Drosophila melanogaster: one gene and its partner. The protein of the gene in region 1 interacts with the protein of each later gene in a pairwise test. Each region holds a gene or a part of one and is shown in the gene's direction. Other genes may lie near its edges.

What was found.
Region 2: the proteins of EndoA (region 1) and Manf interact in a two-hybrid assay, tested with the Drosophila melanogaster proteins (one large-scale study listed by BioGRID).

Annotation. Positions count from the first base shown.
Region 1 is NT_033777.3:18,905,003-18,911,467, forward strand, and holds EndoA (endophilin A), read left to right. Parts: upstream 1-1,606; 5' UTR 1,607-2,018; exon of another isoform or gene 2,019-2,197; 5' UTR 2,198-2,264; coding exon 2,265-3,374; 3' UTR 3,375-3,448; exon of another isoform or gene 3,449-3,503; 3' UTR 3,504-5,753; downstream 5,754-6,465. Other genes in the region: CG14292 (uncharacterized protein), read right to left, coding at 23-475, 551-604; Sgsh (N-sulfoglucosamine sulfohydrolase), read right to left, coding at 6,258-6,465. UniProt on the Drosophila melanogaster protein: Required presynaptically at the neuromuscular junction. Implicated in synaptic vesicle endocytosis.
Region 2 is NT_033777.3:16,347,574-16,351,367, forward strand, and holds Manf (mesencephalic astrocyte-derived neurotrophic factor), read left to right. Parts: upstream 1-1,830; 5' UTR 1,831-1,937; coding exon 1,938-2,025; intron 2,026-2,101; coding exon 2,102-2,226; intron 2,227-2,312; coding exon 2,313-2,454; intron 2,455-2,843; coding exon 2,844-3,010; 3' UTR 3,011-3,228; downstream 3,229-3,794. Other genes in the region: CG14879 (uncharacterized protein), read right to left, coding at 1,208-1,311; CG10311 (uncharacterized protein), read right to left, coding at 3,557-3,657. UniProt on the Drosophila melanogaster protein: Required during the maturation of the embryonic nervous system for maintenance of neuronal and cuticular connectivity. Essential for maintenance of dopaminergic neurons and dopamine levels.

The DNA of each region.
Region 1 (6,465 bases):
GCCGGAGGACAGGACTAGAATCCTAGGCAGCAGCTGCTCCTGTGGGACTGGCGGTGGCGGCCAAACGGGCCTGCCACTCGTCATCGATGGCCTTCAGCTGGTTCTTGGCCGTGGTCAGCAGAGGCTTGACACAGCGTATCTGCAGCCAGGGCAAAGTGGCGTTGTTGCAGCCACTGATCGACTCCTCCGAGGTGGCCACCACATCCAGGACGCGCTCCGCCAGGTCGGCGGGAAAGTCAGGCTGGGAGAGCAGACGCTCGGCTTCGCGTTGCAGGACTATCGACTGGAAGAATGAGGAAATCGAGGCGCCTCCAAAGGGAGCAGACGGTGCCACGGGAGCGGCTACACCGGCGGCAGCTCCTGTGCCAGCACCTCCGAAAATTCCATTTAGGAAGGGATTAAAGGCAGCCGCATACGGATTGGCGGCGGCAAAGGGATTTCCGGCAAGGGGATTTCCAACAGTAGCTCCAGGGCCCTTACGAGTAAATTATGATAATTCGGTTACATAATAATCCACTTAATGGGGGGGCCCATATCCACAACTCCTCACCTGTGCACTGATGCAGGCAATGCTGGCCGCCAGTAGAACAATTGCGAATTTCATTTCTTTTAATTTATCTGAGTTCACTTGGTTCTCAGTCGTTGGGTTTCGTCTAGACTAATTGCCAAAAGCACAACGGCTTGCGGCTTTTATACGCCATTAAAAACACGGCAGGGAGATCTTATCTCTGATATCTCAACTATTACTACTGCGATTGAACTGATTTACATGTTCATTGTTTGTTCGGTGGTGCTAAGTACCTCTCGGGGGTTATCTGTTCAGATAGAGCCAGAATATATAAAAAAAAAAAAGGTGGTAAAATTGCTACTTCATGCTGTGAACGTCACTGGTTTTTACGATGCAAATGGGGTTTAATTTTTGCCTGGGATATATTTGCCACCTTCTAGAAAGATAAAATTGACTGCTGTGCTACTGGTTATTTTGCGCACAGTTATTTTGGTAAACAGGATAAACATGATATTTTCTTATCCATTCTGAGTCATTCCATTTTTATCTTAGCGTAACATTCATCAGCAGTTATACAGCTTTATTTTTGCTGAGTACGTTTTCTATCAATATAATATATTTATGTATTGTAATGTTAGAATTTTACGCGCCAAACTGTTATTCTAATCTAACAGCTATTCGATTAACAGCATGTACAAGGACAGAGCAAATACAGAGACCGACAGTGGGACCGACCATATTTATTCTAGTCTAATAATTCTGCCAATCAACATAGATTTCAAATTCAAATTTATAATGCATTAACATTATAAGTATTAGATATTAAATGTAAGATATTATGTTAACTGTTTATGTGCTTCTGGCTTCTTAATATAAAATATATATATTACTTTAATTTTTAATATTGTTTTGATATATATATATAACTATCTAATACCCCCCTGCAAAGAAATTAAATGAAAATGTTAAGTTGTACCTCACATCTTTAACATATGCCTAGAGATGAGCGTATCCCGTGTATGTCCGTTGTTGTATGCGAATGATTTTGGTATTTTACGAACCACCGGTCACACTGAATGTTTTTTAACAGAATTATCGATAGTCCCGCAGCTCCAGTGGCTTAGTGCCGTTGAAAATTGTTGTACACAGTCAAGATATTGATTTTTGCGAGCCGAGAGGAAAACGCGACCCCACAGCCCCCGCCCCCTGTGCGCGACCAGTAGTAGTAGTAACGACTCACGGTCCTTCAAACATTACGCAGCCCAAGGTTCTGGAAAAAATCGAAGATTACGAGCAGAGCAACAAAAAAAAAAACGGGGCAGAACGTGCAGAGCAAGCGAAGCGAGTGAAAGTGCCCGCAGTAGTGGTCAGCAAAAGTAGAACTCGAACTCGGGCTACAGTTCACCAAGCCAATTCGAGTTTCCCGACTCGCAGCCTCCACTGAGCGAGCAGAAGAGCCCCGGAAAGTAGCACCCCCAGCGGAGAAGGAACGGAGAAAAGTGCAGTACGCGTAAGTCTTCCAAACGTAAACGTTTTAAAAATAGACACACTCAGCCAGCCAGCCAGCCAGCCAGGCAGTCGGGCAGTCAGTGAGGCAGCCATCCAGTCCATTGATGAAATTGTTGACTTGATGATATTGACATTGAATTTGAAATCGAGTCTCGACTAACCCAACCAACCCGTTCACAGCAACTGCGTCGAGCGCCCCAAGACCAATTTAATCAGAGGAAGAAAACCAGAAGAGACAGCAGCAGCCATGGCTTTCGCCGGACTCAAAAAGCAGATCAACAAGGCCAACCAGTATATGACGGAGAAGATGGGCGGTGCCGAGGGCACCAAACTGGACATGGACTTCATGGAGATGGAACGCAAGACGGACGTCACCGTGGAGCTAGTGGAGGAGCTGCAGCTAAAGACGAAGGAGTTCCTGCAGCCGAATCCAACGGCACGGGCCAAAATGGCAGCGGTCAAGGGCATCTCGAAGCTGTCCGGACAGGCCAAGTCCAATACGTATCCGCAACCGGAGGGCCTGCTCGCGGAATGCATGCTGACTTATGGGAAGAAGCTCGGCGAGGACAACAGCGTGTTCGCGCAGGCGCTCGTCGAATTCGGCGAAGCGCTGAAACAGATGGCCGACGTCAAGTATTCGCTGGACGACAACATCAAGCAGAACTTTTTGGAGCCACTGCATCATATGCAGACCAAAGACCTCAAGGAGGTAATGCATCATCGCAAGAAGCTGCAGGGCCGGCGGCTAGACTTTGACTGCAAGCGTCGCCGACAGGCCAAGGACGATGAGATTCGTGGTGCCGAGGACAAGTTCGGTGAATCGCTCCAGCTGGCCCAGGTGGGCATGTTCAATTTGCTCGAGAACGATACGGAGCATGTCTCCCAGCTGGTCACCTTTGCCGAGGCACTATACGATTTTCATTCGCAATGCGCGGATGTCCTTCGAGGCCTGCAGGAGACACTGCAGGAGAAGCGCTCCGAGGCGGAGAGCCGGCCACGCAACGAGTTCGTGCCCAAGACGCTGCTCGATCTGAACTTGGACGGCGGTGGCGGCGGCCTCAACGAAGATGGCACGCCGTCTCACATTAGTTCGAGCGCCTCGCCGTTGCCCTCGCCGATGCGTTCGCCCGCCAAGTCGATGGCCGTAACGCCGCAGCGCCAGCAGCAGCCCTGCTGCCAGGCCCTCTACGACTTCGAGCCGGAGAATCCCGGCGAACTGGCCTTCAAGGAGAACGACATTATCACCCTGTTGAATCGCGTCGACGACAATTGGTTCGAGGGCGCGGTGAATGGCCGCACCGGTTACTTCCCGCAGTCGTATGTTCAGGTGCAGGTGCCCCTGCCCAATGGCAACTAGGCTATTCCTCATCCTGTTCCTCGTATTAATCCCGATCCCTAAACCAATCCCATCCTATCAAACTGGCTGAAGACGTACGTAGATCGCTGATTGGAGAACAATAACCTTAATTGTTGGTTTCGCCACCAGAGGCGCGAAATTGGGCAGCCCAAGCCGATGCAGAAGCAGGAGCAGCAGAAGCAGCAGCAGCAGCACATAAATGCAAATATATATATATAGTTGAATTAGATGAGCGGGTTACTACGATTACGGATATTACGATACGGCTTAGCTAGCAGCACACAGCAGGCTAAATTCATGGTGGCCATAGAGCAAGCTAACTAAATTTTATGTGCAAAATTATACCAGTTGGCAACACAATAATTAACAAATTAACTACGAGTTAAATTAATGTACGTATTAACTAACTAAATTTACAAGACGTTACGCGCGCAATGCCACTTCCTTGCGTTTTTACCTTTGATTCTCAAACGTCAGCTTTGTTGTTCGTTGCAAGTTGCGAACATTTAGTACTACTTCACACAATAGATCGATCACGTATTAGAACAGTTGGTCCGGCGGCAGAAGCAAACAGAAAAACACTCTAGCTAATTAACTAAATTACCCGTGTAATCTTAATCACGCCCATGGAGGCGCGTCTCTTTTGTCTTTCCACCTGAGTTCTTCTAGCCTCCAGTTTTCGGAGGTCTTTTTATCCGGTCTCATCGTTGTAATTTAAACCAACCTACGCCAATGCGCTCTCTATGCAAATGTCCCTTTATAGGCTAAAGCTACGTATCCACACCATACGCCCGCCCACATGCATATACATATTTATTATATACCCGAAAATACCTACATATACCTACTCTACCTACGTATATTTGTGCAAAAACAATACTCCCCACACTCTATTCTAAAAGGCATACGGAATACCGTTCTTGATGTTCGTTGTTCAATGTAAAGAATAATTCAATTCAATTTTTCGAGGATGAAACAAGCGAAATTTGTATCCTACTTTTTGCTCCTTTTTATGTGTGTTGTTTTTTTTGTTTGTTAATTATATACATAACAACTATATATATATATATTAAATGAAATCAAATATATGTATAAATATATTTATTAAGCGTATTATCTACATGTATATTTATTATTATGTATTTATTATAAATTATACTGAGCAGCAACGTAAACAATATAATGAATATTTAAACGATGATAACAGATAAAAAGTACTAGCGGCAAGTAAATGTAACAGAATCCTCCTAAACAATACCAACCAACAAGCATAATACTAGTTAAACGATTTCCACAAAAATGTTGATAATAATAACTTTAAACGTAAGCAAAATCCAGTCAAGTCAATCGAAGCATAGCAACACTTACGAACCTACTAACGCGTTTACCAACCGCAACTCTAGATCAAATATTTATATATTTAACGAGATAATAATAAACATTCGACGGCAAACCGATAAAATGATTCAAAATAGTCTCATGTTGGCATACAGCTATGCACGATATACATACGAATGTATATACATATATATACTCGTACGTTTAGGAATGATATACACAAGATACATATATATTTACGTATGAAGAAAACCATTGAATTGAAAGCCATGCAACTTGTGTTGATAATAAATTTGTTAAATGCCAAGAAAACATTTAACAGAATTATATATTCGAGTGCGAAGATGAAACATTTGCCTCGTGGACGGACAGACTGCCAGTGCGAACATTTCCAGAGGATACCCCATCTGGGGAGGATCCACCCATCGCCTGGAGACTATCTTTCCACGCGATACACACTTGCCCCACGTGCAGCGGGGCCCGAACTTCAAACAATAATTATTGTAATTTTGCATTTTTGTGTGGGCGGTAACTTGAATAATATATATTACAAGGCATATACATAATAATAATAACTATGCTAAAACTGAAGACCCTAATTTATGCAAACCAAAATTAATAAAATTTAATTTTTAATGTGTCTTTCGTTCAAAGTCATAACTGAGAAACAACAAAAAAAAAAACAAGCAAACGTCGTTTACTCTTTGATATTTCCCATCTGACCTTAAAACCATAAAACGTGCTGCCTGTTGTGTAACACAGAGACTCGAATGCTGCTGGGAATGGGTGGTGGTGGGCGATGTGGGAATCCGGAGGCGCCACCAATAAACTACAACAGAAGCATTGAAATTTTCGATTTTCCACACACAGACACAGGCAGCCGCCAGCACACCCTCCCCTCCCCTATCCCACTGACCCAGTGGGCATGACATTGAAACGTGACGCAGCATCCAACCCCTGATGCCCACGCCTCCAGTCCAAAAAGTGGGTGAGGTCATGCTGCCAGGACACGAGTGTTTGCCAGTCTGGGCTGATGCAACCAATTCAGTCAGTGGGGGAATCTTCAGTCTTCTTTCTTTGCCAATTCTGTTGGCTATTTTTTTGGCATTGCGCAGGTGAAAATCAAGGCAATATATTTTTATCTGTTTGTTTGTAAAAAGCAATTAAAGTTTTCCCTTAATGTAAACTTGGAAATTTGTTCAAAGAACATACATATGTACATACTCTAAACAAATGCTTAATTCTTATGATTACCATTGCTTTTGAAAACATTGATCTTTTTATTAGCCATGCTTAAAGATTAGCAGCTCGCTTCAAAGTTAAACAAAGTTTATTATTGAAAGTATTGTATGTTACTTTTTTTTTATTATTTTAATAAGAATATACATTAATATAATATTATCATTTCTACCTTTTGCAATTCCTATTTGTATGACCGCAACTGTAACGGCATGTGAAGTGAAAAACATTGGCATGGTTGAGTTATCAACCATTGGACATGCGATAAGACAACACACCCAATCTATTGAATACTCTTAGTCAGACCTACGAGAAGACCACATACTCCTCATACTGACCGAGAATCCTGCGCTTGGGCCGCTGCAACGCCTCGTGGCCCAAGGTCAGACAGACGGGCTGATCCTTGTAGACGCCCTGCTCCTGGAGCACAGCGTGCGGAGCACATCGCCAGGGATCCTTGGTGGCTACCTGCCAGTCGAACAGTTGCTCGCGTAACTGCTTCAGGGTGCCATTG
Region 2 (3,794 bases), 2.6 Mb from region 1:
GTATATGTCTCACTTAGGTGCTAATGAACTAGCTACTAGCTAAAAATTAACTTAATACGTGCCTAGCGACATAGTCTTCACTATGCATTTGATCAAAGGCGGTAAATAGCAAAGTGTGAATGAAGTAAATATGATATGCATATTTTATATTCAATAAAATCACAAGCACTAGTAGTACCCTCGCTTAAAGCGATATAACTTATCACATATCAGTGCTAATGACGTCGTTATTTGATTGTTTGACCCCCTCAAGCGCTTAGTCATCAGAATTGTTTAAATGGCACATGCTGGTTCGGTGAGTTTTTTTCTTTCGTTTTTGGGGACCGGAGCTCCCAGACATTAATAGTGAGTGTGAGTAGGCGCGAAAACGTGCAGCGCATTCAAGGAACGGAATTGGAATTTTCAGCGATTTATTGTTAAAAATCCGTTAGTCAAGCTATGGAATTTCCAGTAAGTTATGCCCCTTATCGAAATACAAGAGCTACTAGTGTCACGGAATATTATCATGACACATTTAGGTAGCTATCACTAGAACCTTATCGATCTAAAGAACAGATAAGAAATGTATTGTCTTGATTTATCAATTGCGTTGAAATTGTTCAATTAGAAACCCGGATTCTTGAGTGATGTAACTGATGGTTCTGATTAATGGACATCATTTGACCATTCATTCATAAGCTGATTAACAACTTCCCACCCTCAAGCATACATAATTCATGGTATTATTCTTTGCCATCCAACTGGCTTGTTGTTTTCTTCATAGCCGGCATCTTCAGCGCGTGTCTGATTCAATTTTAGTCTGGTGATGTCATATACGATGGACTTGATACAGTAAAACCAGACGACTACGTATACATCTGGCAGAGATTTCTTTATGGTCCCATCACCACCGCCTTATCGCCCTAATAGATCATAAACTCATAAGAGGTCTTTGGAATTTATAAAAAACAAACATCATCTGGCAGAAGAAGTATAAATTATTTAAATTCATGAGCCCATTTGCATGTTTTTTGTGTGCGCCATAAATTGTTCGCGAGTTTGGTGAGTATTTCGTCTAATCGGGTCACATACGTAAACGATTTTAAGAACACTATATTTATATTTTCAGCACGCAAAGAGGCAATTTCTCCACCTCAGTTCGCGGGAAGTGGCTAATCGATTTTCTTAAAGTTCGCGGAATTTAAACGCGAAATATCAAAGGACTCACTGCTGGGGATCCTGGAGCAGGTTGCCGCTGATGGACAGCCGGGTTACTCGATCCGAGGTACTGGCATTGGTGGGCAGCACGGCAAAGAACTTCACATCAGGCATTTTAAACGATTTATTATAATGGGCTGCTTCTTTTCCGTTTTATTTTTAGCAAGGTGTGTAATTGCAAATTTTATCCGGATAATTGTAAATACGTTTGCTGTGGCAGTTGCCAACGGTTACAATAACTCCAAATAGCCGAGGGAGTAGTGAGCACTTGGACGACTTGGTCAATACTGTTGGCGATTACACAGATACGGTGCTATATTAAGGGACTGGAAGAGGATTAAGTCCAAGACTACGTCACGGGCAACGTGCAGTCGAGCATATTTGCTTAGCTTTAACTAATTTAAATAATTCCACGACGCGCAGTTCCGTTCGCATTCGCGCGTGATTGAAAACTGAGCAGGAGTGCCTCTGCGTAAAACGGAGCAGCTGAGCGATCCCCACACCTGTTAGCCAGTAAATTCCGGACCCCGATAGTATGACCATATCGGTTGTTTTCCAATTTGAAAACGTGGCGCTGCCCCGCCGATAAATGAGTACTTTTATCGATGCCTGACCTATCGGTGAACACCCATATCTACGGCCACCTAACGCTAACAATTCGGGGACAAAATCAAATCGCATGCAAAGAATTCAGTACAGTTAATTAAAGTACGCTCAAGCACAGTCGAAGTAATAACAAAATGAAGACGTGGTACATGGTGGTAGTGATCGGCTTCCTGGCGACGTTGGCCCAAACGTCGCTGGCCCTGAAAGAGGAGGACTGCGAAGGTATGTGATTGGCCACGTAAGTGGTTGAGATGTTCTGGAACAGATTTTCACCGGGCTCCATTCTTTCGTTCCGCAGTTTGCGTCAAGACGGTTAGGCGGTTCGCAGATTCGCTGGACGACTCCACCAAGAAGGACTACAAACAGATCGAAACGGCCTTCAAAAAGTTCTGCAAAGCGCAGAAAAACAAGGAACACAGATTCGTGAGTAGCCGGCAAACAAGTGCCGCCCCCTCTCCCTCACTTCCTATTCTCTGGGAAAAATGATACACGTATGCGTTTCTTCGTAGTGTTACTACCTCGGCGGTCTGGAAGAATCCGCCACGGGCATCCTCAACGAGCTGAGCAAACCCCTCAGTTGGTCCATGCCAGCTGAGAAGATCTGCGAGAAGCTGAAGAAGAAGGACGCACAAATCTGCGACCTTCGCTATGGTAAATATTTTAGTTAGGAACTATACATATATAGGAAGTGTGGGTATACAGAATTCAATATGAAGCACCTAGCATTTCTTGGCAAAAGGAAAGAATTCAGGAATACAATTTCGCATGTATGCTTTACTATTATATCATAGCTTGTTAAATTATTTTGTGGTAACTCGCATAAAATTCTACATTTTATGAGATAGGTCTGTTTGTAAAATGAATGTTAATGGTTTAGATTATTAGAAAACGTTAATCGTCATTTACTAAGAGTCAATTAATCTAGGGTGTCTATTAGAAACAAAAACTCTTAACTTGGCTTAACATTTAGCTTTTCTGTCGCTGCTCTTCGCCTTAATATACTTCTATAAACATTTATTTATGTGGATTGTTCATTGCAGAGAAACAAATCGATCTGAACAGCGTGGACCTGAAGAAGCTGAAGGTACGCGACCTGAAGAAAATCCTCAACGACTGGGACGAGAGCTGTGACGGTTGCCTGGAGAAGGGCGACTTCATCAAGCGTATCGAGGAGCTGAAGCCCAAGTACTCGCGCAGCGAGCTGTAGAGCGCAGTCAGTTACTTGTGTAGTTACATGGAACACGCCCACTTAGCTAAAACAACAACCACATGAAACGCCCCCTACACATCCATATTTTTAGTTAATTTACAATTTTGATAGACTTTGAGAGAATTGAATATAACTATATATGCCTAAAGATAAAACCTATATTTTGAAATAAAAAACAACAAACACACAAGACCTCGTCCTCTCAAACGGTTGATAAATAGTTTGTTTTTATTTTTGTTATTAGTTTTCGGTTTTTGAACTCCTCTTTCACAATTACAAGTATTACGTACAAATTACAACAGAAATTCACATAATATCTGGATTAAAGTTTTATTTAAATGTTAAATACATAATTCCATTGCACTTAATGCCACGGGCCGCGTAAATTCGATGTGAGCGAAGGGCTGGCTCGCCTCAACTAAATTATAATTATTAGTTAGACATAATCACTAAAAACGAACATAGGAAGCTAGGATGAAGATGTGTGGGTGGTGGATTCAGCTTCTTGAATGCAATTTCTGATGAATAGTGCTCCTGGAGATTCTAGCGACGGTACGGCTGCTTGTTGTAACGACCGCGCTCGTTCTCCTCGGACAGGTTGGCGTATTCACTATAGACCACGCACCAGCAATAGGTCATAATCGCTGAAAGATGGAGGAGGAACATTGGGTTAGGGCATGTGCGCGCAAAAGAGTGCTGTCATTTTATATTCTACATGAATTGCATCCGATTTTACACGATGTAATGTAAATTGACTTTTAACTCGTATGTGGTTCATTTT